4 linked regions of the Notamacropus eugenii genome follow. The main gene of each other region encodes a partner of the protein of the gene in region 4 in a complex. Links are inferred from orthologs where the notes say so. Each region holds a gene or a part of one and is shown on either strand. Other genes may lie near its edges. The genes, in order: TCTE1, EFCAB2, DRC12 and GAS8.

What was found.
Region 1: GAS8 (region 4) and TCTE1 share a complex: the UniProt entries of both Homo sapiens proteins name them as parts of the nexin-dynein regulatory complex. The link is inferred for Notamacropus eugenii from reciprocal best matches to the Homo sapiens genes DRC4 and DRC5.
Region 2: GAS8 (region 4) and EFCAB2 share a complex: the UniProt entries of both Homo sapiens proteins name them as parts of the nexin-dynein regulatory complex. The link is inferred for Notamacropus eugenii from reciprocal best matches to the Homo sapiens genes DRC4 and DRC8.
Region 3: GAS8 (region 4) and DRC12 share a complex: the UniProt entries of both Homo sapiens proteins name them as parts of the nexin-dynein regulatory complex. The link is inferred for Notamacropus eugenii from reciprocal best matches to the Homo sapiens genes DRC4 and DRC12.

What each region holds. Positions count from the first base shown.
Region 1 is NC_092873.1:107,791,027-107,798,894, reverse strand, and holds the start of TCTE1 (dynein regulatory complex subunit 5), read left to right. Parts: upstream 1-4,864; 5' UTR 4,865-4,964; coding exon 4,965-5,232; intron 5,233-5,833; exon of another isoform or gene 5,834-6,035; intron 6,036-7,868. Other genes in the region: AARS2 (alanine--tRNA ligase, mitochondrial), read left to right, coding at 31-168, 275-384, 559-667, 835-957, 1,206-1,316, 1,961-2,044, 2,303-2,413, 2,994-3,158. UniProt on the Homo sapiens protein: Component of the nexin-dynein regulatory complex (N-DRC) a key regulator of ciliary/flagellar motility which maintains the alignment and integrity of the distal axoneme and regulates microtubule sliding in motile axonemes.
Region 2 is NC_092873.1:406,147,676-406,154,661, reverse strand, and holds the start of EFCAB2 (dynein regulatory complex protein 8), read right to left. Parts: upstream 3,005-6,986; 5' UTR 2,802-3,004; coding exon 2,777-2,801; intron 1-2,776. UniProt on the Homo sapiens protein: Component of the nexin-dynein regulatory complex (N-DRC), a key regulator of ciliary/flagellar motility which maintains the alignment and integrity of the distal axoneme and regulates microtubule sliding in motile axonemes.
Region 3 is NC_092876.1:279,606,047-279,612,953, forward strand, and holds the start of DRC12 (dynein regulatory complex protein 12), read left to right. Parts: upstream 1-3,902; 5' UTR 3,903-3,953; coding exon 3,954-4,017; exon of another isoform or gene 4,018-4,105; intron 4,106-4,251; coding exon 4,252-4,327; intron 4,328-5,039; coding exon 5,040-5,110; intron 5,111-5,563; coding exon 5,564-5,683; intron 5,684-6,510; coding exon 6,511-6,603; intron 6,604-6,862; coding exon 6,863-6,907. UniProt on the Homo sapiens protein: Component of the nexin-dynein regulatory complex (N-DRC), a key regulator of ciliary/flagellar motility which maintains the alignment and integrity of the distal axoneme and regulates microtubule sliding in motile axonemes.
Region 4 is NC_092872.1:708,012,854-708,020,588, forward strand, and holds the start of GAS8 (dynein regulatory complex subunit 4), read left to right. Parts: upstream 1-4,719; 5' UTR 4,720-5,136; coding exon 5,137-5,139; intron 5,140-6,635; exon of another isoform or gene 6,636-6,752; intron 6,753-7,618; exon of another isoform or gene 7,619-7,735. Other genes in the region: DBNDD1 (dysbindin domain-containing protein 1), read right to left, coding at 1-5; uncharacterized protein, read left to right, coding at 1-235, 843-977. UniProt on the Homo sapiens protein: Component of the nexin-dynein regulatory complex (N-DRC), a key regulator of ciliary/flagellar motility which maintains the alignment and integrity of the distal axoneme and regulates microtubule sliding in motile axonemes.

The sequences.
Region 1 (7,868 bases), on a different chromosome or scaffold from region 4:
TCACACTCTCTCTTCCCCTTATTTCTCCAGGTCCCATTGACCTCCAAGCAGCTTGAGGCAGTGGAGGAAGCTGTCCGAGAGGCTGTGGAGAGGGATGAGCCTGTGTATATGGCGGAGGTGGCTCTGGAGCTGGCCACCCAAGTTCCAGGCTTACGCTCTCTTGATGAGGTAAGAGGGAGAGGAAGAAAGGGAAGAGTTTAGTAGAAGGCTCAGAAATGCTGCCTCCTTTTTGAGGGGAGGGTTTGTAATGTACCTGCTCTTCCCCTTGCCACAGATATACCCTGACCCTGTTCGGGTGGTGTCTGTGGGGGTACCTGTAGCCAGTGCCCTGGCCCCCACCTCCCAGGCTGCACTGCACACCTCTGTAGAACTGTGCTGTGGCACGTAAGTCATCCCCTCTCTGTCCTATTGCCCCTTGTGCCTTAGGTTCCTCTTGGTCATGGTGTTCCCACGTGGTTCCTTTCACCAATGCTTCCCCACATTGCAATGTGGGCTGTAGGCTCTGGGTTCTTCTCCGGAATGCCCGTCCCTCTACCATCCCCCTTTCCTTTGCCCCAGGCACCTGCTGCGCACTGGGGCCATAGGAGACCTGACTATTGTGGGGGAACGACAGCTATCCAAAGGCATCATCCGACTGGTGGCTGTCACTGGGGAGCAGGCCCAGCAGGTCAGTGATCACCCAGGAAGAAAGAGAGGGAAGGACTCCTTAGCTGGAGGAGGCAGGCTGGAGAAAGCACACACACGCTGGAGATTTTCAGTCCAGGGGGAGCCATAGCCAGGTATGAGGTAACCTTGGAATCACTGTGACTAATAGACCCTTTTTCCATCTGCCAGGCCCGTGACATTGGCCAGAATCTGGCTCACGAGGTTGAAGCAGTTGCAGCTCGAATGAACCAGGGGAGCCACGATGTTGGGGAGGCTCAGCGTTTGTCAAAGGATGTGGGACGGCTCAGTGATGTGAGGACCGCATCCTTCCCTCTGCTCTTCCCACTGTATTATACCCTTTTTCTTGTACCAGCCCAAACCCATTGCAGGTCTCCCTGTCTCATACTAAGAAGCTTAACAGGTTGGCCAGCAGAAGGACCAGGCTTTGTATTCTGTGTGGGAAGGGGATGGAGTGGGTGCTTTGGGCCTGGGCCCTGCCTCTGCCCAGGAGCACTACAAGCCTGGGGATGTAAGTATGATGTTGCCTTTTCTGGCCACAGACAGTGGACACAGCTGTGATGCCCCAGTGGCAGCGTCGAGAGCTGCAGATGGTCCTGAAGAGACTGCAGCGCCATGCCAACACTGCTGTCCGAAAACTGGAGATGGGACTGGTAAGGGAACTCTCTGTACAGGGCCATGGGGGCTTGGAACGTGCAGTGTGACAGCCACCCAGCAGGCACAGCTACCAGAACTGGCCCATATTAGTCCAGAGCAGTTAGACAGGGCAGGAGATGGGAAAGCTAGAATTGGGTCAGAAGGAAGAGTAAGTCATTAGGGAAAACTTCCTGAAGAAGGATGTGGAGCCAGGGCAAAAGGAAGAAAGAGGCCAGGGCTTAGGGTTCTCAAAAGGCAGCTTGCTTCAGCCAGGCGAGGACTTGAGTGGAAGGTCTGGCTTTGGCAGAACACGAGGGCTCAGCCTCTCCGAGTCCTTGTGTCACTTCTCAGTCACCCTCAGGTTGAAGGAAGACACAGGTAGGAGGGCTGAGGTACCCATGTTGGAAACTCAGGGAAGGAGGGATGTGTGGGGATTGTCCACCTGCCCTTCCCCTCCTCCTGCCACACACACACACACACACACACACACACACACACACACACACACACACACACACACACACACACACACACACACACACACACACACACACACTCACACACTCACACACTCTCTCTCTCTCTCTCTCTCTCTCTCTCTCTCTCTCTCTCTCACACACTCTCTCTTTTTGTTTTCCCCACTCCCTTCTCTGTTCTCCAGGCCACAGCAAAAACGCAGGAGTTATTGGAGAGAAACCCTGTGGGGCCTTTCATTGTTGACACAGTCCCAGCTGAATCCCTCTCGGTGTGTTGTAGGGAGCAATCACAGGACGGGGGTCTCCTAAGGAAGGAGGGAAATGGAGGAAGTGGGTGGGTTTCAGCAAAAGGGAAGAAGCTGGGACAGGGAGATGAGAGAGTTACAGTGGGGATCTTATTGAGGGACTGCTTTGTGCTTTACTGGAGTCAAGAGGATACTAGGGAAAAGGCCTGTAACAAATAAAGGAGGGGCCATGGGGAGGCCTGGGGCCACAGTGGCTCTGGCTGACTCTCCCTCCCTTTCCAGCTGCTAGTGAAGGTGGTGAAACAGCTGTGTGAGCAAGTCCCTGGCACTTCCGTGTTACTGCTCAGTCCGCAGGCCCCAGGGAAGGTCCTGTGTGCCTGTCAGGTGGCTCAGGTGAGTGGACAGGGAGAAAGGTGTGGCACCATCCTTCCTCCCATCTCTCCCCACTTGGTTGAATGGTTAAAGTGAACATCACCACCATGCCCCCGCCCCCCCATCTTCTGGCATGTGCTTCATTCATTCTCTTCTCCAGGAAAGGGATTCACACATATACCAGGGTACAGAATTTCTCCTGTTATTAAAAACAGTGCCTGCTCAAGGGAAAGGGTATTCTTCAGTCACCTGTCCCAGTATAGAACAAGTATTCTCATGTTCTCTTCCACTTTATGATTTGAAGCACTGTGGCTACATAACTTAGCAGGGACAGAGCCTCTGGTCCCTGAAGCTCTCAGCCTTGCAAACCATCGTAAATCACCCATCCACTGGGCTAAGTAGAGCTTCCCTTGTCTTCCCTCCCCCACATGCCCTGCCTGTCTCATCCCCAAGAGCTTTCTCCCTGGCTTCTAATGTGATTTTCCTACCAACTACAAATAGCAGCTACTACCAGTAGGTTCAGGTGTCCAAGACTCCCAGAGTGCTGTCTGCTGGTGGGGAGGGGAGTAGTAAGGTCAGTTCCTGTCTGCTTTTTCCCTAGGATGCAATGCCCACCTTCACTGCTGAAACCTGGGCATCGGTGGTATGTAGCCACATGGGAGGCAAGGCCTGGGGCTCCCGAGTCGTGGCCCAGGGAGCAGGGAACACTGGTGACGTGGAGGCCGTGCTGAACATTGCCCGATCCTTTGCTCTCAGCCAGCTCTAACCCAGGACTTTTGGAGTGAAGAAAAGCAGAGCAGCTCAGTAGGACAGGAGCCAGAGGCCCCAGTGCCTAATGACTAAGAAACCAGAGACAAAGACAGAATCAGGAGCATAAGAAAAGCCATGACATAACTATCTCTTGGTCCTTCATTGGTGCCCACTTCCCCCTTGTGGGGAGAACTTGAACAGTGACCTTGAGAGGACCCACCTCCCACCCCCCACAACCAAGGGAGGATGAATCTGTGCAGCCTAATCCTCAGCCATGGTTCGCAGGAACTCAGTGCTGAAGCTATGGCTGCCTAGTAAAAAGCACTTTGTTAGGGGACAGACAGCTACCAAAAGTTACTAGGAAGAGGAAAGTTCTTTCCTTCCCCTCTCAGACTGCTCAGGGGTCTCAGTAGTACCTGTGTCCATCACTCCTGCTTGTTCCTCAGGCCTGGCTGGGTGAGGTTTGGGACTTGGGACTGAGCCTGGGATCTGAGACCTCTGTCACCACTGATGCATGTCTATAGATGGCATCAGACCTGAGCAAACAACAAGGATGAGCCCAGCCCCCTTGGTCTCCAGAACTAAAACTATAAGGGTCTTGAGTCCCTAGCAGTCTGGAAAAGCTCAGACCAGATAGGAGATTAAAAAGCATTTCTGCCTCAGGGCAGTCCGCTGAGTCCCTCCTTCAGAAACAGCCTGGAAGCTGTCCTCACTAAGACATCCCAGGTCACAACAGGACAGACCGTGGTGAAATGATACCCTGGCTTCTTCCCTCAGTCTAGGCGTCTTTTGCTTGTCTCCTGGCAGCCTTTTTCAGACTTGACACCAAATGCTTGGGAAACTGGGCATTCTCTGGAGCCTTAATGAGGGAGAACGGAGCCAGCTAGTATGGCTCCCCCTTAGAGGCCAGGATCCCTGCAACTGGATCTGGATTGATGACTGAGCATCAAAATTTAAAAGGGCCACCTGCCTCCTAGCATCCAAAGATGTAATTTATAGGTCTCTCTTTCTCAAATGGAGCTTGGCCCCTCCATGGTGCATTCTACTTGACAGCTGATTTCTCATTTTAATTAAGATGTTACTGATTTATTGATTAATTACTGCTGTGAGACCAGTCATCTCCAAAGTTCCCTGTGCCTGGCTCCTGTGTTGTTTACTCCTGCCCTGCCTAAGCCTCTGGGGTTTCTAGGTCTTCTCTCAGGGCCAGGTTCCTCCTCCCTCCCTACCTCATTAAGGACATGAGCTCATTGGGGGAAGGGGGCACTGAAAAAGAAGGAAAAGATGCCAGGATTTAGCCCTCCCTCCCCTGTCCAGCCAGATAACCCACCTCTTGGGCCACAGCCTTACCCTTTAGAAAATGGGATGCCACAAGAAGCAGAGACCACAGCCTCTTTATTCCTGTGTCCCAGAGGCTGAAGACCCTAGAGGGACTGGGTGTGGTCGAGTGGAGAAGGGACCTGGGGCTTGGGGTTTACCACCTGCCTCCTTCATGTAGGGAAAGGACTGCACAAAGGAGCCAGGGTGTATTGTGACTGCTGAGGCAGGGTGGGGAGGCAAGATGCACACACCTGGTGAAGGAGCCCTGGTTATGGAAATTATTCCACAACTTCCCCTGAGGTTGGCCAGTGTGGGGAAGAGCAGGGGTTGGGGTTAGTAGGTGTAGTATTCCATCTCATCTGCTGTGAAAGGAATCCTAAGGGACCCTGGCAACACCCAATTTTCTAAACCTTAATCACATCTTAAAGGGGATGGAGAAGTGAGAGTTTTTATAGTCAGCCCCTCACACACAAAAGAATACATTATACACAGTCCCATAGGAAGCATGGAAGTATGCTCAGACAGAAACAAAGCATATATGTGCACACTGCACATATGTGTGTATACATCACACCACACACTAAGACTGGACAGACTGCGCAAGCGCTCACACATACAGGCACACACACCCTCGCTCTCCTTCCCTTACCAACAGCCTGCGTGCATAGCAACCAATGCAGACAGCCTTCCGGTTGGGGGGGAGGGGAGGTGTCTCCATGGAGACAGAGCCAGGCAGAGGGTCCCAGCTAAACTGAAGACAACCAAGGCAGCTGGTGAGGAAACCTTGGGATGGGAGGCTGACGGATGTCCTTGTGCCCTGCTCCCCTCTATGCCCACGTCCCTGTTGTTCACTCTGCCAGATCTTCTGCACCCCCTCCCCTCCTGCCTACCCCTCAGTGTCCCCCTGGATAAAAGAATCCTACTCTTCCCCCTGTCTCCACCTTTAACTCTCCAGTCTCTTCCTTAGGATGGCCTTTTATGACTTACTGTCTGTGGTACAGCTTCACCAAACTGATCCCTCTTCCCTGTGGAGGAGAAGGGGGGAGGGAGGCCTGGTAGCCCCAGCAGTAGCCACTTGAGACCTCACCCCACGGCTGAAGAAAGATGCCCGAGTTCCCTTGTCCCCAGGGAGTGGTTATTGACTTAACAGTGTCAAGGGGAGGACTGGGCTGCCTATGAAAGGAGGAAGGAGATGGAGAAAAGGTCCTAGGGACATCATTAACAGTCATGCGTCTATCCTGTGCCTACTCTGCTTCTGCTTCCCTTGGGACAGAAGCCCCTTTGGGAAACCCAGACTTTCTTTTCCCCACTTCCTTCCCTGCAGTCTCTTTCCCTTGACTACAGAATAGCTGCTGCATCCTTTTCTCCTCACAGGATGGGTGGACAGGCACTGCAGTGACCTTTAGAAAGCTGAGAAGAGAAGCCCAGTAGGAATTATCAGTATTTGAGACAGAGTGAGGAAGGTTAAAAAAAAAACAACAAAAAACCATCATCATTCATTTTGGGTCAGTGCTGGATTTGAGCCTGCTGAAGCTGCAGGCAGGTTTGAGCTTGAGCCATAAGCCTAGAGGACAGGGTAAGCTGTATTCACGGTGTATCATGGTGGAGAGGGGCTGGGAGGGGAGGCAGGAAACCTGAGTGTGTCTCAGCTGTGTCCATTTCTAGCCTGTGACCTTGCAAATCATTCAGCTTCCCAGCCTGTTGTCTCATCATCTTTGTGATGGGAATTAGACTTGTACTACAGACACTGTTGTGAGGAAAGCACTTTGTAAATTCTGATGTGTTGTATGAAAGTGTGTTGCTGTCACTTTTATGAGCCATTTTGCTAGGTTGAAAGAGACCAAGCCCAAGCATTCTGGGGAGTGGAAAGGGAGAACAAAGTAACATGACATAGCAGAAAAGGCACTGGATTGTGAATTGAGATCCTTATTGGACCAGCTGTGTAACCTTAGGAAATTCACTTCCCTTCTCTGCACCTCAGTTTCCTTATCTGTCAAATGGGAGTAGTGGGCTAGATGAAGATACTTCCCATGATTCCATATGTTCCTCATTCCTGCCAGCCAGAGATTCCTTTCTACCCCTTGTTCTACTACTCTAAAAAATAAGCGTTAACTTGGTGAGAAGCCTTAGGCTGCATCCCATGTGCCTTGGTTGTCTTTTCATCAACTCCCACCCCCAGCACAACCCTCCCCACAAGTTATATTGATTATTTCGTCAGATCCCAGCTCTACCTGGTTATACTGTTGATAGGAGTAGAGACCACTAGTGGTACAGTGGATAGAGTGGTGTGCCTGGACTTGGGAAGTCCCAAGTTCAAATCTGCCCTCTGACACTGGGTAGCCACAGGACCCTGCACTAATCACTTAGCTTCTCTTTGCCTCAGTTTCCTCAACTATAAGATAACAACACCTACCTTTCAGGGTTGTTGTGAGGATCATATGAGGCAATATTTGTAAAACACTTAGCATGGTAGCCAGTACGTAGTAGATGCTATAGAAATGCTTCTTCTGTTCTGCTAATGTTAACCCAATTGCAGTCAACTCTAGAAGCACCTAAATTTGCCCCTTCTCTTCCTTTCCCATGATGATATCTTAAGGGAATTAGGCAAGGAAACAAATTTAGAGGATCTAGCCATGTTTAGCACATGGAGGTTGCGATACAGGTGGGACATCCAAGTAGAGATGTCCAGTAGCACATTTAAAATGTGGGAGTAGGAATTGGGAAAGAGATCAGGGCTGGAGACACAGGTTTGGGATTCATCTGTTCAGAAGTGAGTAGGTGAGAACAGATGAGACAGGAAGAACCAAAAAAGAAGCAATTAGAAAGGTAGGAAAGTCAGGAAAGATCATAGATGGAGAGTTGAAAGAACCAACAAATCCAGCCTTTCATTTTACAGATGAAGAAACTAAAGATAGGTTAACTGATTAAATAATGGTCACATAGGTGTCAGGGACATTTGAACTCAGGTCTCCCTGACTTCAAGTACAGTGTGCTAGGTGATTTCACAGCAGTGTCAGAGAAGCCAAGGAAGGAATATTAAGGGAAAAGTCTGCTGAATCTCACAATCAGGAAGTTGTCAATGACCTTGAAGACAGCATTTTTAGTAGAGTGACAGAGCTCAGATTTTAAGGAGATAAAATATGAGAGAATGTTGGGGACAGCAGAGGCTTCAATGTATGAATGTTTGTAGTGAGAGAGGAATGAACCACTGGAGAGAAAGAGAATAAAGATATAGTTGAGATACTAGATAGTTGCCTGAACAAAGCTCCAGAAAAATCAATTAATATGGAGGTCAAAGGCACTGAGTTAACCTTAGAAATGAAAAAGAAATACTTCCTCCTCTGAACCAGGTGAAAAATCAGGTAATGAATGGAAAGGGAGGGGGCTCAAGCCTATTCACTTCCATTGT
Region 2 (6,986 bases), on a different chromosome or scaffold from region 4:
GTGTTCTCTTGGTAACAAAAATAGCTCCCAAACATCCAAGATTAACCTGTTCAGTTGCTGACAAATCTCTTCCCAAAGTATCTACTTCTTTTAGTGTTGCTAAATAAAGTAACCAAACCAGGTTCTATTTCCTGCTTCATTGCCATCTAACTGTAAGACTTAGGGAAACTCATTTAACCTTTACAGCCAGATTCCTTATTTATAAAGGAAAGGGAATAAACTAATGAAAATCATAACTCATGATTCTATAGTGTTTTACAGTTTTAAAGTACTTTCCTCATAAAAGCAAAGGGAGATATGAAGCGGTATTATCATTATTCTCATTTTACACAGGGGAATTAAGATTCAGACAGGCTAAAGAACTTGGGACATAAATGATAGAGATGACATTCAAACCCAGGCTTTTGATTCCATATTCATCTTTCCACTGAAACATGCTGAATGTAAATCCCCTTCCATTTCTAAAATTCTGCATTCCAGTTTCCTAAAATAGCTGAAAAATTAATAAAAAAGTCAGTCATTCCTTGGGATGTAGTATGTACTTTCTAAACAGCATCACTGAAAGCTAACGTCACTTATTTTAGGAAAAGTAGCATAGTAATATTCATAAATTTCATAAGCATGTAAACTCCTGCTCTCCACATCGACAGAACGAACTATGGATTCTGAATGCAGATCAAAGACACTATTTCCTTTTTTCTTCCTTTCTTGTGGTTTTCCCTTTGATTCACAACATGACTAATGTAGAAATGTTTAATATGACTGTACATGTACAGCCTGCATCAGATGGTATGCCATCTTAGGGAGAGAAAACATTTCCAACTCACAATCTTATAAAAGTGAATGCTGAGAACTAAAAACAAAGAAATAAAAATTTTATTGTTCAAAAAAAAGAACGTAAACTCCTCGAGGCTGCAGCCTACCTCAACGCCGAACCCTGCTACGAATTTGTGTCTCAGCCGGCGCTCTGTGGCCCTGCAGGCCGTACAACGTACAGACACCTGGCTCAGGTTCGGTTCTCCACAGCCCGCCTGCAGTCCACAGACAGGGGCCATAGGCTTTCCCTTTCTAAGGTCCAGTTGCTTTGCCAGGACTTTTCTGAGCGCAAAGCATTTCTCAACCTCCGCAGAACTAGAGCAGTATTTACGCTATACCGGAAGTGATGTTGGAACCGCAATACCAGGTTCCAAACGGTCAACATGCATTTATAAATACCTGCTCTATATGGCAGGTATGGCTGGGGACACAGACAGGCAAAAGAAGGTTCCCTGCTCCTGAAGCTTGGTCTGAAGCAGAATCAGGGCATATTATTTATCCCTGTCAACAGTCATATTGAAAATACACGAGGAGGGGCTTAGTAACCTAAGACTAGGCTTTTAGTACTCCACAGGGACTTCCTAAGGCCTACTATGTGCCAGGCATTGTGTCTAATAAGCCTTGGGGACAAAAAGGCAAAAACCAGTCCCTGCTCCCAAGGAACTCAGCGTTTAAACGGAGAAACAACGAGCAAACAGTGATGTAAAAACAAAATACTGACACAATAAACTGGAAAAATTCAAGTTGATGCAGGAGAATGTGGGGGAGGGGTCCAGGTTGGTCAGATTCTGGCTGAGGAAGTCGCGGTTTTTGTTGTGGTTGCTTTAACGTACGGGAACGTGGTGACTGCCGGTTTCAGGGGGTCTCTGCAGCCCCGCGGGGCGGCTCCCCTCCCGTCTGAGGCCCGCGGGCCCCGGGCTGGCCTCGCCTTCTTCTCCAGGGAGCCTCAGCTCCTCAGACTGAGGCCTTTATTTTTATTGTGTGGGGAACCCCCCGGGGCTTGAGAAGAGAACATGTCCGCTTGCACGCGGCTGCAGATGGGGGCCGCACGCAGCGAGCTCAGCCCGGGCCGAGGTGGGGGAGGGGGAGAGGGAGGCGGGCCTGCTGGGCCCGAGGCGCGCCAGCATCCTCGGGCCTGCTTGCAAGGAGCGCCCCGGAAAGGCAGCCTCTCGGGCGGGCGGTCCCACTTCATGGCCAGGCTTCCCGAACGCACTTCCTTGGTCATGATCGCGGTGAGAGGTGGTGTGGGGTGTTTTTTTTTTTTCTCCCCCCAAAATGAATAAATAACTGTCTCCGGCCTGGCTCTTTCTTCCTACGCACAAGCCAGGGCCGGGGAGAGGCGCTTCATGGTGCAGAAGGGGGAGGGAACCGCTGCAGCCTCTTCCTCCCGCCCTCGCCTCCCCGCGCCGCGGGAAGCAAAATGGTGCCGCCAACGGTCGTCAGGCAGAGAGACAAGGGAGGCCCGGCGCGGCCGCGTGGGGGCGATGGGAGGAGGAAAGAGGATCCAGGAGGAACCCCGCCGGCCCTAGTGGGCGGACGCAGCCACCTCCATCCCTAATACAACCACCGGGACACCATCTTTTTGTCCCCGAGCCCCGGGCGGGGGCGCTCGCTACAGTTTCCCGGAAGAGGAGGAGGGGGCGGCGGGAGGCGCCGAGGCGTAGCTCTCGGGCACCGCGCCTGGCCTGGGGGAGGGGAGATAAAAGAAGCGGGGGAGGATGAGAAAAAGGAGAGGGGGAGGAGAGCCGACGTATCCCTCCCTCCCCTACTCCCGCGCTGGGCGGGGCCAAGGTCACCGCCTTCTCCCCCCCTCCCCCGTGCACGGCACCCATTCCCCTCAGCGGGTGGCACGTCCAAAGGGGTATAGGCAGGGGTATCCTCTAGGGGTGCTTCCTCCAAGGCCTCTGGCAACGCTCAGCAAGCCAGGCCCGGCCCTTCCCTTCCATAGGCGGTTTCCTACCTCCGCTGTCTCTATCGTCCGCCATCTTGTTGCCGGCCCGGTCGCCCTGGAGATGCCAGGTGGCGCTGGGCGGCGGCGGGAAAGAAGAACTGCCTGGATCTGAAGGGGAAGGGGAGGGGAGGGAAGGGAGAGAAACACCATGCCCAGCCCCGCCGCGGCCCTGCGCCGACTTCCAGAAGGCAAGTCCTAGCCGTAAAGGAATGGGGAGGCAGGGCCGTGGAAGACGTGGACAACCCCCCCCCCACGCAAAAGACCCCTCCTTGGGAACTCGGCGCCCCCGCCATAAAAACGTGGGCCCCGCCCTAGAGCCCCAGAACCTGGAGTGTTGTTAGACAATTGCCGCCAAAGCGCTCTCTTCCCGCCCTCCACAGGGGGGACCTCCCTCCTCCTATTCTCCCGCTCGTTTCCTCCCTCCCTCGTGCTCCCTGGGAACGGCTGCGTTTTTATTGCCAGATTTAAAAAAAAAGGGGGGGCGGCTGGAAACGTGCAGGAGGCGCGGTGGGATCGAGCCTGGGGCCGCCCTTCCCCCCAACCGGAGGCGAGCGGCCCACGTGGGGCGCGCGCGGGGGCGGCCCCTCCCTCCCGGGCCCGAGCGAAGCAGCGGCCGCCAGCAGGCCCTCCCCGCCACCATCCATCCCCACCCATGCTCCCTTCCCCGAATAGCCGGGGTGGCGGGGGCCTTCAAAGCACCCCTGGGCCCGGAGCGGGACGAAATGGGCCTCGAGGCCGAGCAGCGCCGGCTGTAGCCCAGGCTCCCGCTAAACCCTGGCGGCGGCGTTGTCGGGGCTGCGGCGTCAGGCACCAGCCGGGAGGCAGAACCCAGGGTTCTCCTGGCAACAGCGCGCCCGGAGTGCCATGCGCAGCCTTCCATAGGGCCAGGCGATGGGGCTTTTTTAAATTCTCCGTCACGTTCTCCTGCTGCAGTTGCTGAGAAAACTTCAAGCTTTTTTTTCTCCGACATTTGCCACTTAAAATGCCTCTAATCTTGAAACGTGGTTCCAAAGCTCGGTACGCAGGGTTTCTTTTTAAAGGCTATTGAAATGCTGTGCTCGATCCATTTGATTTTTTTTACAATTTCAAGTGAAAAATAAATTCACACTGCCCTGATTGTATTGTTCGTACTAAACAAAGGGTGGCCCCTTGGTGAATTGCACGAGCCGGAGGTCGCGCAGTAAAATAAGTTGGCTGCATTTTTTCTTATTGACATACTAAATCGTATTTTTCTTGGAAGGATTTCTGCACAATAAGTATCTGCAGGCCCAGAGCTCGCTAGGCCAATTTGTCATTGAACCTGAAACTAACCAACCCGTGTTGGGAGGAAGTCCTAGGACTGCATGGTGTTCTCAAAAACTTAAATTCAGATTTTTTTTTGTTACTTCGGTGATTAAAGATGACGCAGGTAAGTTTCACATGTCAAACTGTGCCTGTTTTGTCATTTCAGTCCAGTAATATAAGTTCCCCATCACACACTGCCAATATAGATTCAGAATAATTGACAAATTCAGTTTCCCTCCTAGGCTTACTACTTGTTGATAATATTTACATAGGAAAAGGTCTATCCTACAGATTCTCCCTTGTTAGAATCAGTGGCATCAAAGGCCAAAATCCAGTTTAGCAGTAACTAGATCTACCAAGGAGGTCAGTTTTCCCTCTCCCTGGAGAAACTTTTCCTGGACTAGTAGCCATAGTTTACAGATGGACATAAAGAGGAATAAACTTGAAAATTTTCACATTGTCCACCACATTTGAGGTTGCATGGAAGATCAATGAAATCCTTCCTAGTGGAGCAAATTGTCTAGGGGACAAGTCCTAGTTACAAGTCCTCCTGCAACTACTGGAGAATTTTTTGTGGTTGAATTGGGAGCTCTGGACTGGAACCAAAGTTATCGGATTTATTTCCTGAAAGAATGGATTACCTTTTGCTTTCAGTTTCTGCATATGAAGTGGTGTTCCTAAATACTTATCGATTACTTTAAAAGAATTATATGAATGTTAAAAAAGCAGAAGTAAAGATGATTTTTAGCTTACCTGATTCTTAGCAAACTTTAATTCCTTGAAAATTGTTTAATGTTTGACAGTTTGAAATTTTACTTTTGAAGAAGCTCTTGTTTATATTTAAATTTACTCGGGTCTGCTACTGAACTTATAAATCAGTTCCTTGGCTGCAGTAAATACACAATTGTTTCCCAATTGTCTCTGGTTGTTAGGCCTTACAATTAGAAGGTAAGTTCCCAAAAGGCAGGAACTAAGTCTTATGTTTGCTTTGTATTCTTTCTGCACCATCAGCTTCCAGCCAGATACCTAGCAGGTTCTGAATAAATAGAGAGCTTCAAGGGACCTTAGACAGCAGCTATAAACTCATACTTAATAAAGTTTACAAAGTACTTTCTCTAACAAACTGTGAAGATCGGTTGACAAAACTGGAGATGTTTCTTCTGGAGAAGAGAGCTCTCCTTGGGACATTATAACTATTTTGAAGTATTATTGATGATCTTGTTAAAAAGGACTTAGACTTGTTCTGCTGGACTCCAGAAGACTAAAGCAATAATTAGAAGCTGCAGATAGGCAAATTTAGGCTTGCTCTAGGGAGAATCTTCCTAACAATTCAAGTAACATCGTCCTGGGACAACAGCAACTAAAAATAGTATCTCTCCTTTGCAGGGTGAATTCTGGAATTTCTCTATCCGATTCTAGAAACCTCTTCACCCTGGACGTTCATTCCAGCCCTGGACTTCACAAATTGAAGTACCCTCTGCCCATGCAGACCTTCCTTCTCATTGGCTGGTTCCTCCCAGTACCTCCATTTTTAGGAGGACACACAGGCTCACCACTCCTTTATTCCTCTCCAGGCTATACTGCTGACTCTCTAGACTTTTCTGTGCCCCTACAACTGGTACCTTCATTTCTTCTCATTCCTTTTTCAGTTTCTTTTTATGTATTATTTTCTTCCACTAGAATATAAGCTTGAGAGCAGGAGATTGACTTTCTTTCTGTTTATATTTGTACTGCTAGCACATGGCACATAGTAAGTATTTAAGACATGCTTGTTGACTGACTGCTCACTGCATCTGGAGGAGCTGAGGACAAAGTAGATTATCAAATTCAGTCTTTTAGGGCTCTATAGGAGGTCCAACAGAAGGCTGGACCAAGTCTATGAGGAACTTTATGAGGACTCCGGGAAGGAGAGGACTCCAAGAAAAGAACTCCCAGGATCTATGAGTTACTCCTTTGCCATATGTGAGTTCTAAGGTTGACCCCCACTTTCCCTGGACTCAATGTACTTATCACAAAGTGTGCTCTTGGTTTGAGAGTGATGCTTTGTACCAACTATTCTGCCTATACACTTTAGTAAGTATCTGTTTCTAAGAACTTTTTAGAAAATTATTTTATTCTGAATTTAAGAAATAAAACAAGCATTTCTATAACATAATAGAATAGGGAAAAAAGATGATTATACATGAAACTGCCAATCTATTATGTAAAATTTGCTATTCCTTTAAAATATATGAGGTATCATATAACTTTGTTTATTCTCCCTTTTTTCCTTCCCTTTTTCCATCCGTAATTAAGTTTGACAGATAGCAAGTGAGAATCTGGAGGGGATGGGTCAGCTATATATAGCATTTTTAGCTACAGCATTAAAAAACACCCTTCAAGATCCCCAAGACCCCTGAGGGGAGAAATAGTATCTTCCAGGGGACTTGACTTGCAAATGTGAATGGAGGTTGGGATGGTAAACCTAGACTCTAGTAGAGGTTAACTTGTGGTCCATGATATCATATTTTAATAACTATAATATAACTAAGTTTCTTCAGAATACTTTTTTGTTTTGTGCATCTAAAATGTGATTCTGAGGAGGAGCCTGCAGGCTAATTCAGCTGGCTACATAGAATACTTGTTGTAAGCAGCAAAGGAATATGTATGTGTTAAGTGTTAATCAAAGACCCCAAAGATTACAATACATTTAGACAAATCATTTGTCCTCTCTGGACCTCAGTTTCTTCTTCTAGAAAATGAGAAGGTAGAACTAGATGATCTCCAAGTTCCCTTCCAGATCAATATCCATGATAATAGAGTCCTCCTACCCAGTAGACCACTTACTCTTCCCTCTCCTTTGTTAAATTGTCACCCATAATCAAAATCCTTGCATATCCCTTAGGGCTTCACTTTGGGTCCCTTTCTCTTTTCTCTCAGCCCTCTTAATGATCTC
Region 3 (6,907 bases), on a different chromosome or scaffold from region 4:
AGCTAAAGCACAAATAATTAGGTGTTAATGTGTTAACAAAATGCTAACACTGCTACCCCTTTTCAAAATGTGTGAAATTTTCCCTGATGTACATAGAGAGGAAGTTTACCATTAGCTAACACATTAACCATGCCCTTGATCACCTTTAAAATGCTAGCTTACTAAGTCCTGCCTTCCCTGGAGATAGGAAGCAGTTCAATGAATGGGACTTTACCAGCAAAAGAAATAAGACTAAGAATTCAAGAGAGAACCAGTTCTGGAAATGGACATGAGCTAGGGAGGGGAATAGACCCTGAGAGTCCAGTTGAGCAACAGGAAGAAATGCTGTGCACAAGGGGAAGCAGTGTGAAAACCACATGGAGAACAAATATTGAGAGCATGAAGTTGCCTTGACTACACTACTATTGTACTTTGTGCCTATTCTTTTCGTGTATGCTATATGTATTTGTAGGTATATGTGCCCTAGTTTAATAATGGAAATGTTTTAGGGACAGATAGGTGGCGTAGTGGCTAAAGCACTGGTTTGGGGCAAGTCTCTTAACTCTGACTGCCTTGTAAAAAAAAAAATAGGGTCAATGTTTTGTAGCTACTGTTTTTACTGCTTTATCTTAGTAAAAGCACCTTCTTTGAGCTACTTGTATCTACTGACTAAGTTAAGGGAAAAGCTCATTGGTGAGAGTTCTTAAACTATAATTTCAACAGTGTAAACCCAGAGTATCCTGCAAACTGATGGTAATGGTGGCCTTCTGGGAAGGTAACTCAGAGTGGGTGTTACAAATATAAATGGAAAGAACAACAACAAAAAAAAAAAAGATTTAAATTGAACAGTGTGTAATTATAATGACCAAGCTTGGCCCCAAAGAAAAAAATGAGAAAATTTATTTTCCTTCAATATTAGCAAAGTCAAGGGGATTATATCCGTACAATATATACAGCATATAATGTTGGATTTAGTTGATGTGGTAGTTGGTTTTGCTGAAGTCTGTTTTTTGTTCTTTTTAATTTTTATTAAAAGGGTTGCTTCGAAAACTCAAAAGTCAAGCCACTGGCTGGGAAAATGTCCAGAAAAGGGGAAAAAAATAAGACTATAGAAGGTTACTTTCTTGGTGAACAGATAATTCCTCCCTTCCTTTCTGATGAGGAAGAACAATGCTTACCATCAGGGAAAGACACAGAAGTCAAGGCTTCTGTATCCCACACATCCAAAATAAATATACCATGGGCTCAGGCCATGGAAGAGCTCAAAAAGGATTTTGAAAATTAAGTAAGAGAGGTGGAGGAAAAACTGGGAAGAGAAATGAGAGAGATGAAAGAAAAGCATGAAAAGCAGGTCAACACCTTGCTAAAGGAGACCCCCAAAAATGCTGAAGAAAATAACACCTTTAAAAATAGGCTAACTCAATTGGCAAAAGAGGTTCAAAAAGCCAATGAGGAGAAGAATGCTTTAAAAAGCAGAATTAACCAAATGGAAAAGGAGGTTCAAAAGCTCACTGAAGAAAATAGTTCTTTCAAAATTAGAATGGAACAGATGGAGGCTAATGATTTTATGAGAAACCAAGAAATCACAAAACAAAACCAAAACAATGAAAAAATGGAAGATAATGTGAAATATCTCATTGGAAAAACAACTGACCTGGAAAATAGATCCAGGAGAGACAATTTAAAAATTATGGAACTACCCGAAAGCCATGATCAAAAAAAGAGCCTAGACATCATCTTTCATGAAATTATCAAGGAAAACTGCCCTGATATTCTAGAACCAGAGGGCAAAATAAGTATTCAAGGAATCCACCAATCACCTCCTGGAAGAGATCCAAAAAGAGAAACGCCTAGGAACATTGTAGCCAAATTCCAGAGTTCCCTGGTCAAGGAGAAAATATTGCAAGCAGCTAGAAAGAAACAATTCAAGTATTGTGGAAATACAATCAGGATAACATAAGATCTAGCAGATTCCATATTAAGGGATTGAAGGGCATAGAATAGGATATTCCAGAAGTCAAAGGAACTAGAACTAAAACCAAGAATCACCTACCCAGCAAAACTTCAGGGGGAAAAATGGTCTTTCAATGAAATTGGGGACTTTCAAGCATTCTTGATGAAAAGACCAGAGCTGAAAAGAAAATTTGACTTTCAAACACAAGAATGAAGAGAAGCATGAAAAGGTAAACAGCAAAGAGAAGTCATAAGGGACTTACTAAAGTTGAACTGTTTACATTCCTACATGGAAAGACGATATTTGTAACTCTTGAAACTTTTCAGTATCTGGGTACTGGGTGGGATTACACACACACACACACACAGAGCACAGAGTGAATTGAATAGGATGGGATCATGTCTTAAAAAAATGAAATTAAGCAGTGAGAGAGAAATATATTGGGAGGAGAAATGGAATGGGGCAAATTATCTCTCATAAAAGAGGCAAGCAAAAGACTTTTTAGTGGAGGGAAAAAGAAGGGAGGTGAAAGAAAAACATGAAGTTTACTCTCATCACATTCCACTAAAGGAAGGAATAAAATGCACACTCATTTTGGTATGAAAACCTATCTCACAATACAGGAAAGTGGGGGAGAAGGGGATAAGCAGGGTGGGTGATGGAAGGGAGGGCAATGGGAGGAGGGAGCAATTAGAAGTCAACACTCTTGGGGAGGGACAGGATCAAAAGAGAGAATAGAAGCAATGGGGGGCAGGATAGGATGGAGGGAAATATAGTTAGTCTTACACAACACAACTGTTATGGAAGTCATTTGCAAAACTACACAGATATGGCCTATATTGAATTGCTTGCCTTCCAAAGGGAATGGGTGGGGAGGGAGGGATGAAGAGAAGTTGGAACTCAAAGTTTTAGGAACAACTGTCGAGTACTGTTCTTGCTACTAGGAAATAAGAAATACAGGTAAGGGGGTATAGAAAGTTATCTGGCCCTACAGGACAAAAGAAAAGAGGGGGACAAGGGAAGGGAGGGATGATAGAAGAGAGGACAGATTGGTGATAGGGGTTATTAGAATGCTTGGTGTTTTGGGGTGGAGGGAGGGGACAAATGGGGAGAAAATTTGGAACCCAAAATTTTGTGAAAATGAATGTTAAAAGTTAAATAAATTAATTTTAAAAAAAAGAAAAAAAATAAAGTGATTGTTAACTCCTCAAAAAAAAAAAAGGGTTGCTTCTCTGAGTATGAGAGAGATGTGTTGAGAGAAGAAGGTGCTATAATAAAAGTATATCAGTGAAAAGTAAAACAAAATCAAAAATAAATGATAAAAGAATGAAAAAATGCAATAAAAATATGTCATTTTAGAGGTAGAAGATTATTCCAAAAGAAGAGATGAAAAAATTCAACCTCCTTTTTTGCAGAGGTGGGGAATTGTGGTTGTAAGTATGTTGCATATTATACTATCATATTTAGATGTTTTGGTTACTTTTGTGGAACTTTTTTCCTTTCTTTTTTATTCTTTGTTACATGACTCAATGGGTAGGGTAAGAATGTATTCAGAAAAAGGAAGGTAACATAAAAGTAAGTGATAGCAAAATTAAAAAGGAATATTCTAGCTCAAACCTTTCATCTTATGGGAATTATGCCAAATAATTATCATTACTGTTGCCATCATCAGCATAATAAAGCTATTTTTAAAATTTTAACATTTATGATGTTCCGAATCTATGGTCTCCAAAAAAATCTGGACCAATCTTCCCCAAGTCATTCTTCACCAGTTCCCCCTGGGATGTGGAATAGGGGAAGGAGATACATGGAGAACAGGAAGTTAATCTAAATCAGTAGTTAATTCTGTCTTCCTACAAACAACTCCCAAGTTTCTTGGTTGCTAAGACAGAAGGCAGCCCAGACACTCAACCTTCCTTCCACTATCTCCACCCCCTACATTGCTGATCTGTACTGGTTGCCCTAATCCAGCCCCTTCCTTGGTCTTCCAGCTCATTGGGCCATCCTACTGCCTTTCAACATGAGTTCTCTGGGGAGACACACCACAGAAGAAATAGGAGGCACATCTGAGGAGGTACCTACAGGTAAGGGGAGGCAGAGAAAGAGGGGGCAAAGGCAGGCACAAAGCTAACCTTATACAAAGAATTACTTTCTCCAAAAGAGGACCCAAAGGTATTCCTTTTTTACATAGTGGATGAAAGCTACACAGACTGATCACCCATTATTATTCTACCAGATAGTCACCTTAAAATGAGAGTAGAGAGGGCATCTCCTTAGGACCCAGAACTTGAACACAATGTGCCCATTTCCTCCTCTAGGACACCAAGATGCCACCAAAAATCAAAGGAAAAGGATCAAAAGCTGGGGGACAGAAAAAGAAAAAGAAGAATCAAGGTGAGTGAGGTGGGTAGAGGCTGGTGGGAACAATGCGGGTGTCTTTGAAGGCTTTGTCCACCTAGCATCCCTTAGAGTCCTGACCCCCTTCCCCATGGTGGAATCCAGTCCGAGCCTATTTCTTCCTCCTGGCCTTGGTTCCTTCATTTATAACAATGGTACCCAGGGATGGGGAAAGATGAACTTGTGTCATTTCCTCTAATTGAAGATCCATTCTCCATCTCTTCCTGCTCCCAGGGACCAAGATTCTACATGAAAACAAAATGCAGGCTCTCCTGGAATCACCAGGGATCCAGAATCTCCTCTGGGTCAGCCTAGCCTATTTTGAACTACTCAACTTTTGCAATTGTTGCTCTTTCACACTCCTGTACCACCAGCTCCAGAGGGACCTGCAAGTGCCCACAACCTTTAGATTTAACCCCAAAAAGGTTTCTAAACATGGGAGTTGAGGGTGGAGGAGAATGACAAAGGAGAAGCTATAATAGATTAGGCCTTTATATGGTTTCCATGAAACTGTCCCTCACTTCCTGTTTTGTAATATAGAAGGAGTCATGGACTAGGAGTCTGAAGATGTGAGTTTTGTTTGAACTGCTGTGTAACCTTAGGCAAATTCACTTCACCTCAGTTCCTTCATCATAAAATTTGGGAGTTGGAAAATAATAAAGTTCCTTCTAGCTCTAAATCTATAATCCTATGATTCCTTCTTGCCAAGGACAGATGTCGATGTTGAGATCAAGCACAGGAGAACAGCCTTGGAGGTGGAGATCCTCCGTGACCATCTGGGTAAGGGAATAATAGAGGAAGTTCCCCTACTCCTTGGAGAGTGGAGGTGATACCTATTCCATAGTTGCTCCTAAGTAGTTCCTAGCTAAATAGATCATTATGGGAAATTATGTGAAAAGTCTAGGTAATGAAGGTTAGAATTATAGTTAATTATAATCCTTACAGAGATGAGGATGCCATTTTCCATTGGCCAGAGCAGAGAAGAAATTTGTTCCAAAAGAGTGACTGGTAGACTTCAGGGCTGGGGGAAACAGGGAAAACTCTAAAACATTGGGCAAATAAGAACTTGGAGACTCCAGGAGTAGGGAAGAGAGGAGTATAGCAGTGTGTGCGTGTGTGTGAGTGTGTGTCTGTGTGTGTGTGCACACGTGCATGTGGGTGGGAGGTATCCTGGGAGAATGAGATATTCTTTATGGGCTGAGGACTTCATCCTTCATTTGGTGCCACCCCTAGCTCTTCGACGGGATGAGACTCGCCAGGCCATAGCTTGCAGAGAACTGCTCCGAGTGAGGCTGCAGGAGTTGGAGGCTGAGGTGGAGGAGGCTCGAGGTGATGGAGAGGCTGTGTATGCAGGTGACAGGAGGGGCCTCAGACTATAGGACAATTTATCACCAATTCTGTCTTTGAGCTTTTTCCACTCAGCATAAATTGGATGAGGCTCTTGTGGGATCTTAGAAAGGGATGTCTCAAGGTTCATAACCCCTCCATCCCACAGTGATTGTAGATCTGGAATGGGACAGAAGATCTGGTTGTCTTTCTGTTCTCTATTTGTTATAAATTTCCATCTTTTGGGTGACTTTACAAGCAGAATTTTCTATATCATAAACAAGCCATGGGAAGGTGTTTCCCAAGGCAACTTCCTATAATATCATCCCCCATATGGAGTACCATGTTCATTTCTGGGTACCACATATTAAGAAGGATGTAAGTTGGAAAGTATCTCCAGAGGAGCACAGCCAGGATGGAGAAGAACCTCAAGATCAGATCAGATGAAGGAACTGGGAATTTTTAGCCTGAAGACAACTTCTAGGGGAAATGTAGCTGTCTTCTAATATTTGAAGAACCATCTCATGAAAGGGATTAAATTGGTTCTTCTTGGCTACAGAAGACAGAACTAAAAACAATGGGTAGAAGCTTGAGAGTAGCAAATTTAACTGTGATAAGGAAAAAACTTCCTAAAATTTAGATCTATTGAAAAGTAAAATGGACTGCCTTGGAAAGTAATATGTTCTCTCTCACAAGAAATCTTCAAGCAAAAACCAGGTGACAAATTGGTATGTTGCAGGGAAGTTTCTTGTTCTGGTATAGATTAGACTAGATGGCCAATGATATCTCTTCCAATTCTAATTCTATGATCTTCCTTATTGGGAGTACCTCCTACTACTATCCCATACCCCAAGAGATGAGTCGTCAGTACCATGCCCTGAGGGAAGAGACTGAGACACAGAGACATCAGCTGGAAGAGAAAGTAAAGGTCCTTCAGAAAGAGTTAGGTAGGTATGAATTTCTGTGTCCTAGATGGGTACCTGATCAGTCTGTGTTCTGAGAATGGGATATAGCAGGGCTAGAGCTAGACAAATGAGCTGAGTTTGACAAGAATGAAGGGATGAGGCAGCATTCTTTTAGGTGAGGCATCTAAGGGTATTCTGTATCTTGGAAAGTGCAAAGGGGACAGATTCTCCCACAGGCCACTGAGCAGACTCTATTCAGCTGCCTTCATATTCCTCATTAATCCTGTCTCTGGCTCCCCAGAGACATGCCAAAGAGAGGCAAAAACTGCTAAGAGAGAGGCTGAAC
Region 4 (7,735 bases):
TCCATTCGGCCGGCGGTGTGGGTCTCGGTGCCGCCCCTCGGCTCTAACTCAGCGGCAGGACGAGGACAGGGCGGCGGCGGCGGCTGGAGCCTCCTCCCTCGGGCGGCCGGCCCCGGCCCCGGCCTCCGCGTCCCTGCAGCAGGCAGCGACTGCGCCAGCGGCAGGAGCGCACATCGCCGTGCCACAGCAGACCGTGCGCGGCCGGCCGACTACTCGCCGGCTCCTCCGCCGCAAAGTAAGCATCGCATTGCAAATGAGCTAGGCGGGGTGCGGGCAGAGGGAGCCCGAGCGAGCGGAGGCACTGCGGAGAGCAGAGGCGAGGAGAGGGAGGGAGAGAAAGTGAGAGGGACGCGAGTGGGGGGGCCGGCTGCGCGCGCGCGTGTGGCCGGGTGCGCGCGGGACAGAGCCAGGCTGGCAGGCTGCCCGGGCGGAGGGCGGAGGGGACAGGAGCCGAGGGCCGGGGCCCCACGCCTTGTGGCTAGGGCGAGTGTAACCTGTTCCCCGGACGGAGGCTGGGGAGAGCGCGCTCAGGCCCTGAAGACAGGTGGAGGCTGGACGTGGAGAGGCCCGGAGCGCTGGCCCCGCTGCCCTCCTCTCTGCTGGCGAGCGCTGAAGAGACCGGGCAGGCGGCCTGGCCTTAGAGCCGATGTGTGCCCGAGCCGCACCAGCAGGCTGGCTCTCTGCAGCGGGCCCCGCGGGCCCCAAGACCAGCCCCCACCCACCTTTGCAGTTCTCCCAGGGCCACCTAGCTGGTCTCATTCCCCCCTGGCTTCCCTTTCTTAGAATCCTCGTTCTCTCCTCCCCATCCCCTTTCACCCCAGTTTCTTTGTTTTCGTATATAGAATGTAGTTCTGTGGCCAGCTTGGCTGACCCAGACCACTCTTGGGTGGCAGCAGATCGTGGAGGACAGGCAGAAGAGTATGGCTGCCCTGATAGTCTGGGCCCATGCCTCAGGCTGCCCTGGCAGAGATTGCTGAGAGAAAAGGAGGATGGGGAAGCAGAACTGGAGCAGAAAATAGGAGAACTGCACAGGGAAACCTGGCATGGATCCACAGGATTACAAGAACTGTTATGAGGGCTTCCTCCCTCCCTGCCCCCCCCCCCCCCAGCCCTTACTTAGAGCCCAGAACTATGGGCTCTGGGCTCTGCCACCTCTGGTGCCAGTCACTCAGTTGCATGTTTCATAACACCCACTGGAAAGACTGAATGGTTTTCTCACGCCTTGGATTAAAATGGGAGCAAGAAAGGATATTATGTTTTCTTCTTGGTGATTATGTACAATGCAAGGTAGAATGGAGAGAGTGTGAGAGAGAAAGATAGACAGATGACAGAAATAGGTATAGATAGATGGAGATGGATGGATGGATGGATGGATGGATAGATAGATAGATAGATAGATAGATAGATAGATAGATAGATAGATAGAAAGGCTCAAATTCAGGAAAAATTTCCCAACAATTAGAACTGCCCTAAAGTGGAGTAGACTGCCCAGAGAGGTGGTAGGTTTCCCCTCCTTGAAGGACTTCAGGAAGAAACTGGAGAATATTGGGGCATGTTATCTTGGAGATTCCTTTTGTGTACAGGTTGAGTCTAGATGTCCTCTACAGTCAATTCCAACTCTCCAAATCTATGATACTGTGAATGTTCCAATATACACCCATTCTCCCTCCCAGTGCCTCTTTTGAGAATGTCCCACAGGGCAGAATTACTGCGGTTTTCCTCTGAGTAAAGGTCATGTCAGAGAGCAAGGTCCTTCTGGAAAACTACAGAGCTTGATGTGAAATGAGGACAAAAAGAAGGGGATAGAAGAGCAAAGAAGCTTATTCTAGATCTCCTGAAACCCAGCTCTGGTTCTAGAAACATCCTTCAACACCTTCCTGGGTGGAAACCAGGGTCTAATGGCAAATCTCTGTGGACTGGACGAGCTGTTGGCAAGCTTGTTTTCCTTCTTTGCACATATCTTGCCTTACTGTGATACCTCTTCCCTTTTTCTTCCCTCTTGAGGTCACCTTTGACATTTATTTCAGTTTGATTTCACTGGGATGCAGGTGTTAGGGTACACCCAAGGTGCACCACACCTATACACCAGGAAGGTCATAACTTCTGCTAGCAACACTCCCAAAGAGAACCACACAACAGGTGATTTTTAGCATTAGGGTCCAATTACCCAACTAGACTCTGAATGGATCATCTTGGGTTTTCTCAGGCCTTCTACAAAAGGCAAGAACTTTTGACCAGATCTCCTTGGAACCTTTCTATGGTTCTAAAATTGTGCCTCAGCAGGATGGATGTGGCCAGGAAGGAGCCTTACATTTTACCAGTACATACGCCCTGTTTACCCGAGTACTGCAGCAGAAACAAAGTTAAGGAAAATCCAGTGGTTCTGAAACTTCTAACTTCTGTCTCCCAAGCCTGGAATATAATCCCTCCCTCCTTCAAGGGTCAGCTCAGGTCCTATTTCTTCCACAAAGCCTTCCTTGATCACATTCCACCTTTCCAAGTTGTTGATACCTTCTTTAGTCTCAGATTATTTGTATACAGTGTATTTCCCAATAGACTCAAACCTCCCTGAGGACAGAAAATGGTTCATTTTTTTTCCTTGAATCCCCAGTTCCTTGTATAGTACCATGCACAGAGAAAATTTTTTTAATACATGTTTGTTGACCTGAATTTTGTAATAAAGGAGGAAATCTGACCACGATAGAAAATTCCAGCTCCTGAGATGCTTGGGGTGACCCAGGAACAACTGCTAGGCTGTCACAGTTGGGAAAGATGAAAGAGGGTGGGTGGTAAATGAGACTTTAAATCATCAGTCTAAAGAAGCCCAAAGCTGGGCTCTCACCTCCCGTACTAGATCTATTTTGTTGACTCAATAAAACAAATATTTGTTGCATGTGTGTTATGTGCAAAGCACTGGGCCAGGCTCTAAGGACACAAAGATGACATAAAACACAAAAAAACTAATAATCTAGTGTGTGCGGAAACATGTGCGTGTGCGCACACGATTACTTCAGTATTCCAAGGCTTGATAACTTCATCAATGTTGGTACTCCTTCCACCAGCTCAAACCCCATGCCCTCTGTCCTGTAGTCAATCCAGCGACGAATATTTAGCTTGTTTGGTTCTTGGACAATAGATTCAGTCAATTACAATACAATATGACCCTTCTAGGCTGACGAGACCTGCCACAATTTACCCTCACACAGCCTAGCCTTCAAGGACACAGGAGTCACTTCCACACTATGATAAGATATCACAAGAGGTGCTCTGGATAGAACATTGGACCAAATATGAGTTCAAATCTGGCCTTATTCATTTACCAGCTGTGTGACCCTGGGCAAGTCCTGTAACTGCTGACTGCCTCCGTTTCCTCATCTGTAAAATGGGGGTGATAATACCACCCAGGGTTATTGTGAGGATAAAATGAAATATTTGTAAAGCCCTTTGTAAGCCTTAGAGTACTATATAAATGCTACCTATTATTCTTGCAAGAGTACTCTAGTGAAGTGTGCATGTCATTTATGCACTCTATATGATTGTGTAAATCATTAAGGACAGAGATCATGGCATATTCATTTTTGTATCAATGAGCCAAAAAAGGGTAATGGAAGGTGTTCCTAGCACAGGAAACTCTCACTCTCCTACTTTGCCACCAGTTTTGACTTTCCTTTATTGGGCTTCATCACATAGCCTCTCCTGACCTGATCTATACCAATGACTATCCTGCTTTCCCCATCCCTCAGTGCCTTCTCAGTTCTTTTACTAGACCTAAGTGGAGCCAAAGAGATTTGTCACAAAAGCCTGAAACGATTGAGGCACCAAGTAGTTTTCCTCTGTGTCAGAAACTAAACCAGTCAGAGGGTCTCAGCTAAGGAATTGATGATGAGGGTGGCGAGTCTGGCCTGAGGGATTAAGAGACAAGCTAACCCAGCTTGTGCACCTTTATTTCATTCATGATCTCTGTAGCCTATTTTTTAGCACATCAGTAGGTATGTAAAAAATGTGTCTTGAATTGAAGGAGGGATATTTCGTATTTATCTAGATTTCTGGATACTAACATATGAGCATCCCAGTTCTATTCCAGATAAAATTTTCTGATCTCTACAAGTGTGAATAAAGTATCTTCTTTAACATTCTGAACCAAAACCCAATATGAAAAGCAGAGAGGTCCCTGTAGGATCCCTGTCTGGATCCAAGGGGAGTCTCAGAGCTAGACTTGCCTAAGCTTCTTGATATATTAATTTCTATAATCTACATTGATATGAACAAAATAAACCTCTCCAACAGTTCTGTGATCACATTAATTTAGAACCCTAGCTATCCTGAAGCTGAAGAGTCACTTACCATGGGGGGGGGGGTTCTTTTTCATTGTCCTTATCATTTAAATAGGGACTCCATGGCAGATTTTTTGAAACAAAAGGCCAATTCTTTGTATGTCAGTCTCAAAGCACCTAACACATTGTGGATGCTAAGTCAGTGTTAAGTAATAACAATAATTAGCTCCCTGAGATTTCCAGCTGCACCATCTCTCTTGCCACCAGTCCTCCAGAGAGAGAGAGCTACTCCTTTTGCCATGCCAAGTAGACCCTGGCATCCAGAAGTTGGCACAGTAACGGCCCCTTGTTTGGGCTTCTGACTGCATAAGACATGGTGACACCATCAGACATCACAAAGACCAAGTTGCCCCTTATAAATGAATCACTACTTTTTAAAGGGGGACCCATCAGGATGTAAATGCACGAATCAAGGCAGTTTGATTGGTGTAGCCCTTCCCACGAGCTCCTCCTCCTCCTCCATTACTACCTTCCCCTCCTCCTCCTCCTCCTCCTCCTTCTCCTGTTCCTTCTCCCCAAGGCTAAGATTCCAAATCAACCAATGTTTAGAAGGAAGACCAGAAGACTGCCTCTTAGATCCATCACGTTCACTTACCAAAGGCCCAGCTTTAACACTGCCCTAAACAAATGTATCTTTCTGAGCACACACCGCAGGGCTACTAACCACAACTCTGCTGGTGGTGAAGAGTCTTGTACTTTGTCCAAAGTGCTTCTTTTATGACTCAGTAGCACGACCAGACCAATGGAATCTGTGGATCTGGGTCCAAGCCATGGTTGAAGAGTACACCAATGAAGATCACAAATGGTGCGTACACACACTTGCTGTTTGTGTTGAAATTCATGAAGCTGGCACACTGTATTTCTCTGTGACATATACAGTATAGCTGTTCCTGGAGTCCTGAAGAGCCGGATTCACATCCTGCCTCTGATACTTCCTAACTATGTCATCATGGGCAAGTCCCTTACTCTACGTTACAGATGGGGTTACTTGGGTAGAGGGAGTTCCCACCACTGGTAAAAGCATAGATCTGGTATGGCAGTCAGTCAATCCTAACCTAAGCACCTACTCTGTGCCAGGCCCCACGGTAAGTACTGGAGATAGGCAAAAAACATTCCCTTCTCTCAAAGAGCTCATATTGTAATGGAGGAGACAAGATGAAAGCAACTATGTACAGACAAGCTATATAAAAGATAAATTGCAGGATAATTGGAGATAATCAGCAGAAGGTATCCACTCTAGTTTAAGGGGGATCAGGAAAGATTTCTTGTAGAAGGAAGGATTTTAGGGGGGACTTGAAGGAATTCTCTGTATGAGAGACAGCCAGTGAAAAAATGAGTTGAACTGGGGAATGGAACCTCTTGTTGGAGGAACAGCAAGGCCAGTGTCTCTGGATTACAGAGGATGTGGGGGATGAGTAAGGTATTAAGGTATAAGACATCTGGAAAGGTGGGAGGGAGCCAGGGCTTTGAATGCCAACAGAGGTTTTTATATTTGATCCCAAGGGTTCATAGGGAGCCATAAGTGTTTATTGAAAATATTTTTGCTCTCAAGAAGCTTACAATCTAATGGGGGAGACAAGATGTAAACAATATGTACAAACAAGTCATAGACAGGATAAACTGGAGTTAATGGTCAGAGGGAAGTCACTAGCATTAAAGGGAATCCAGAAAGTCTTGCTTTGGAAGGTGGGATATTAGCAGGGTCTTGAGAAAACCAGGGAAGACAGGATGAAGATGAAAAGGAGGGAAAGCATCCTGGGCATGGGACACAGTCTAGAAAAATGCCCAGAGTTGGGAATGGGGGGAGGTATGTCCCATCTATCACCCAGGGGTGCTATAAGGATTTGACATGATCTTTAGAAATGGAGCTCTAGTGAGTGAAAGGTCAGAATTAAGATGTGTAAACTGTAAAGCGTCACATGCCAACTCCATGGTTGGTGCACTGTAATGGAAAGAGAAGAAACCACCCACTGAGAAAAGCTTATCCTGCCTTACCCAAGCGAGCTACCAGAACAGTTTGGGGCTTATTAAGGGTCAACATGATACCACTTTGCTGATGTCTCCAGATTGGTGGCATTTGCCTTCTGGGCCATCCCTGCTGGGCTATCTTTTTGACAGCTGGTAGAATGAGGGTACCTTTGGGCCTGATACCAGGGAAAGAGCATTTCTGATTTAAAATCTGGGCCAGATACCAGAAGCAAGAAAACAGAATTTCTGATTTCAAGTATCAGGGGAGACTAATTAGAGGTGATGAGAATATGCTGGCCTTTTTTTTTTAAAGACACATATAGACCCCCTTACTTGGATGTTACAGATGGTCTTCTGGCTCTTTCCACCATCTCTCTGATTTAATGCTGTGACAGCCACAGGCACGAATCTTCAAAGAACAAGCAGGGTTATATATCATCTCATTTTGTTCTGGAGAAAAAAAAAAAAGCAGATCCTTGTCTCAGTGTTCAAGTTATATAACAGGCAGCTGGCTGCAGGTGAGCAGAGCCAAGACTTTAGATCTAATTTGAGGAATCATCTCTGGCCTGTCACCATTTATAACGTGGTTGGGGCTATCTAACCTAAGGAGAATGGTGCAAACCAGTACACAAAATGCCAGGGTCCTCAAGGGCAATTACCCCTCTAGACAGACAGACCCATTTGTGTAAAGACAATTTGGAAGCAGAAAGATTATTATTAGATCTAGAAAGGCAGAGGATCTGGGTTTGAGTCTGGACTTTGTCACTCATTAGCTGTGTGATGTTGGGCAAGTTACTTAAACTCTCTGAGCCTCAGTTTCTTCATCTGTAAAATGGGAAAGGCAACATGGGGTAGTGGAAAGAGCCCTGAATTTTGAGTCAGAAGGCTTGGGTTTGAATGCCAGTTCTGCTCCTAACTACTTACTTGTGTGTGACCTTGGGTAAGTCCATCGATTCACCAGCATTTAATTAAGTGCCTGCTGTATTCCAGGCACTGACCTAGGACCTGGGCATGCAAGTATGAAGAATGAAATAATCCCTATTCCCAAGGAACTTAAATTAAGATGATTTCTTGACCGGAAGTTTTTTATCTCCAAAATGACGACTAAATGCTGTCCAAGGTCCCTTTCAGCTCTAAAATCATGATCTATGATCCTTCCAGCCTTACATCTTGTTGGACCATATATCTTATATGGTTGTCTTGAGACTCAAAGGGAATCATGTATGGAAAGGATTTTGTAAACTAGAAAGTGCACTGGAAAGGACATAGAAGAAAGAGTTGTTATTCACAGAGACATGCATTCATTTTGTACATACACGCAAGCCTGATCCATGCATATGCAGCGACTCATAAATCCTATACCGTCCTGGCAAGGCTTAGACTGGCTGTTTGCAAGGGCGGATCTCGGAGCCTTCAGCCTCTTGGACCCGCTT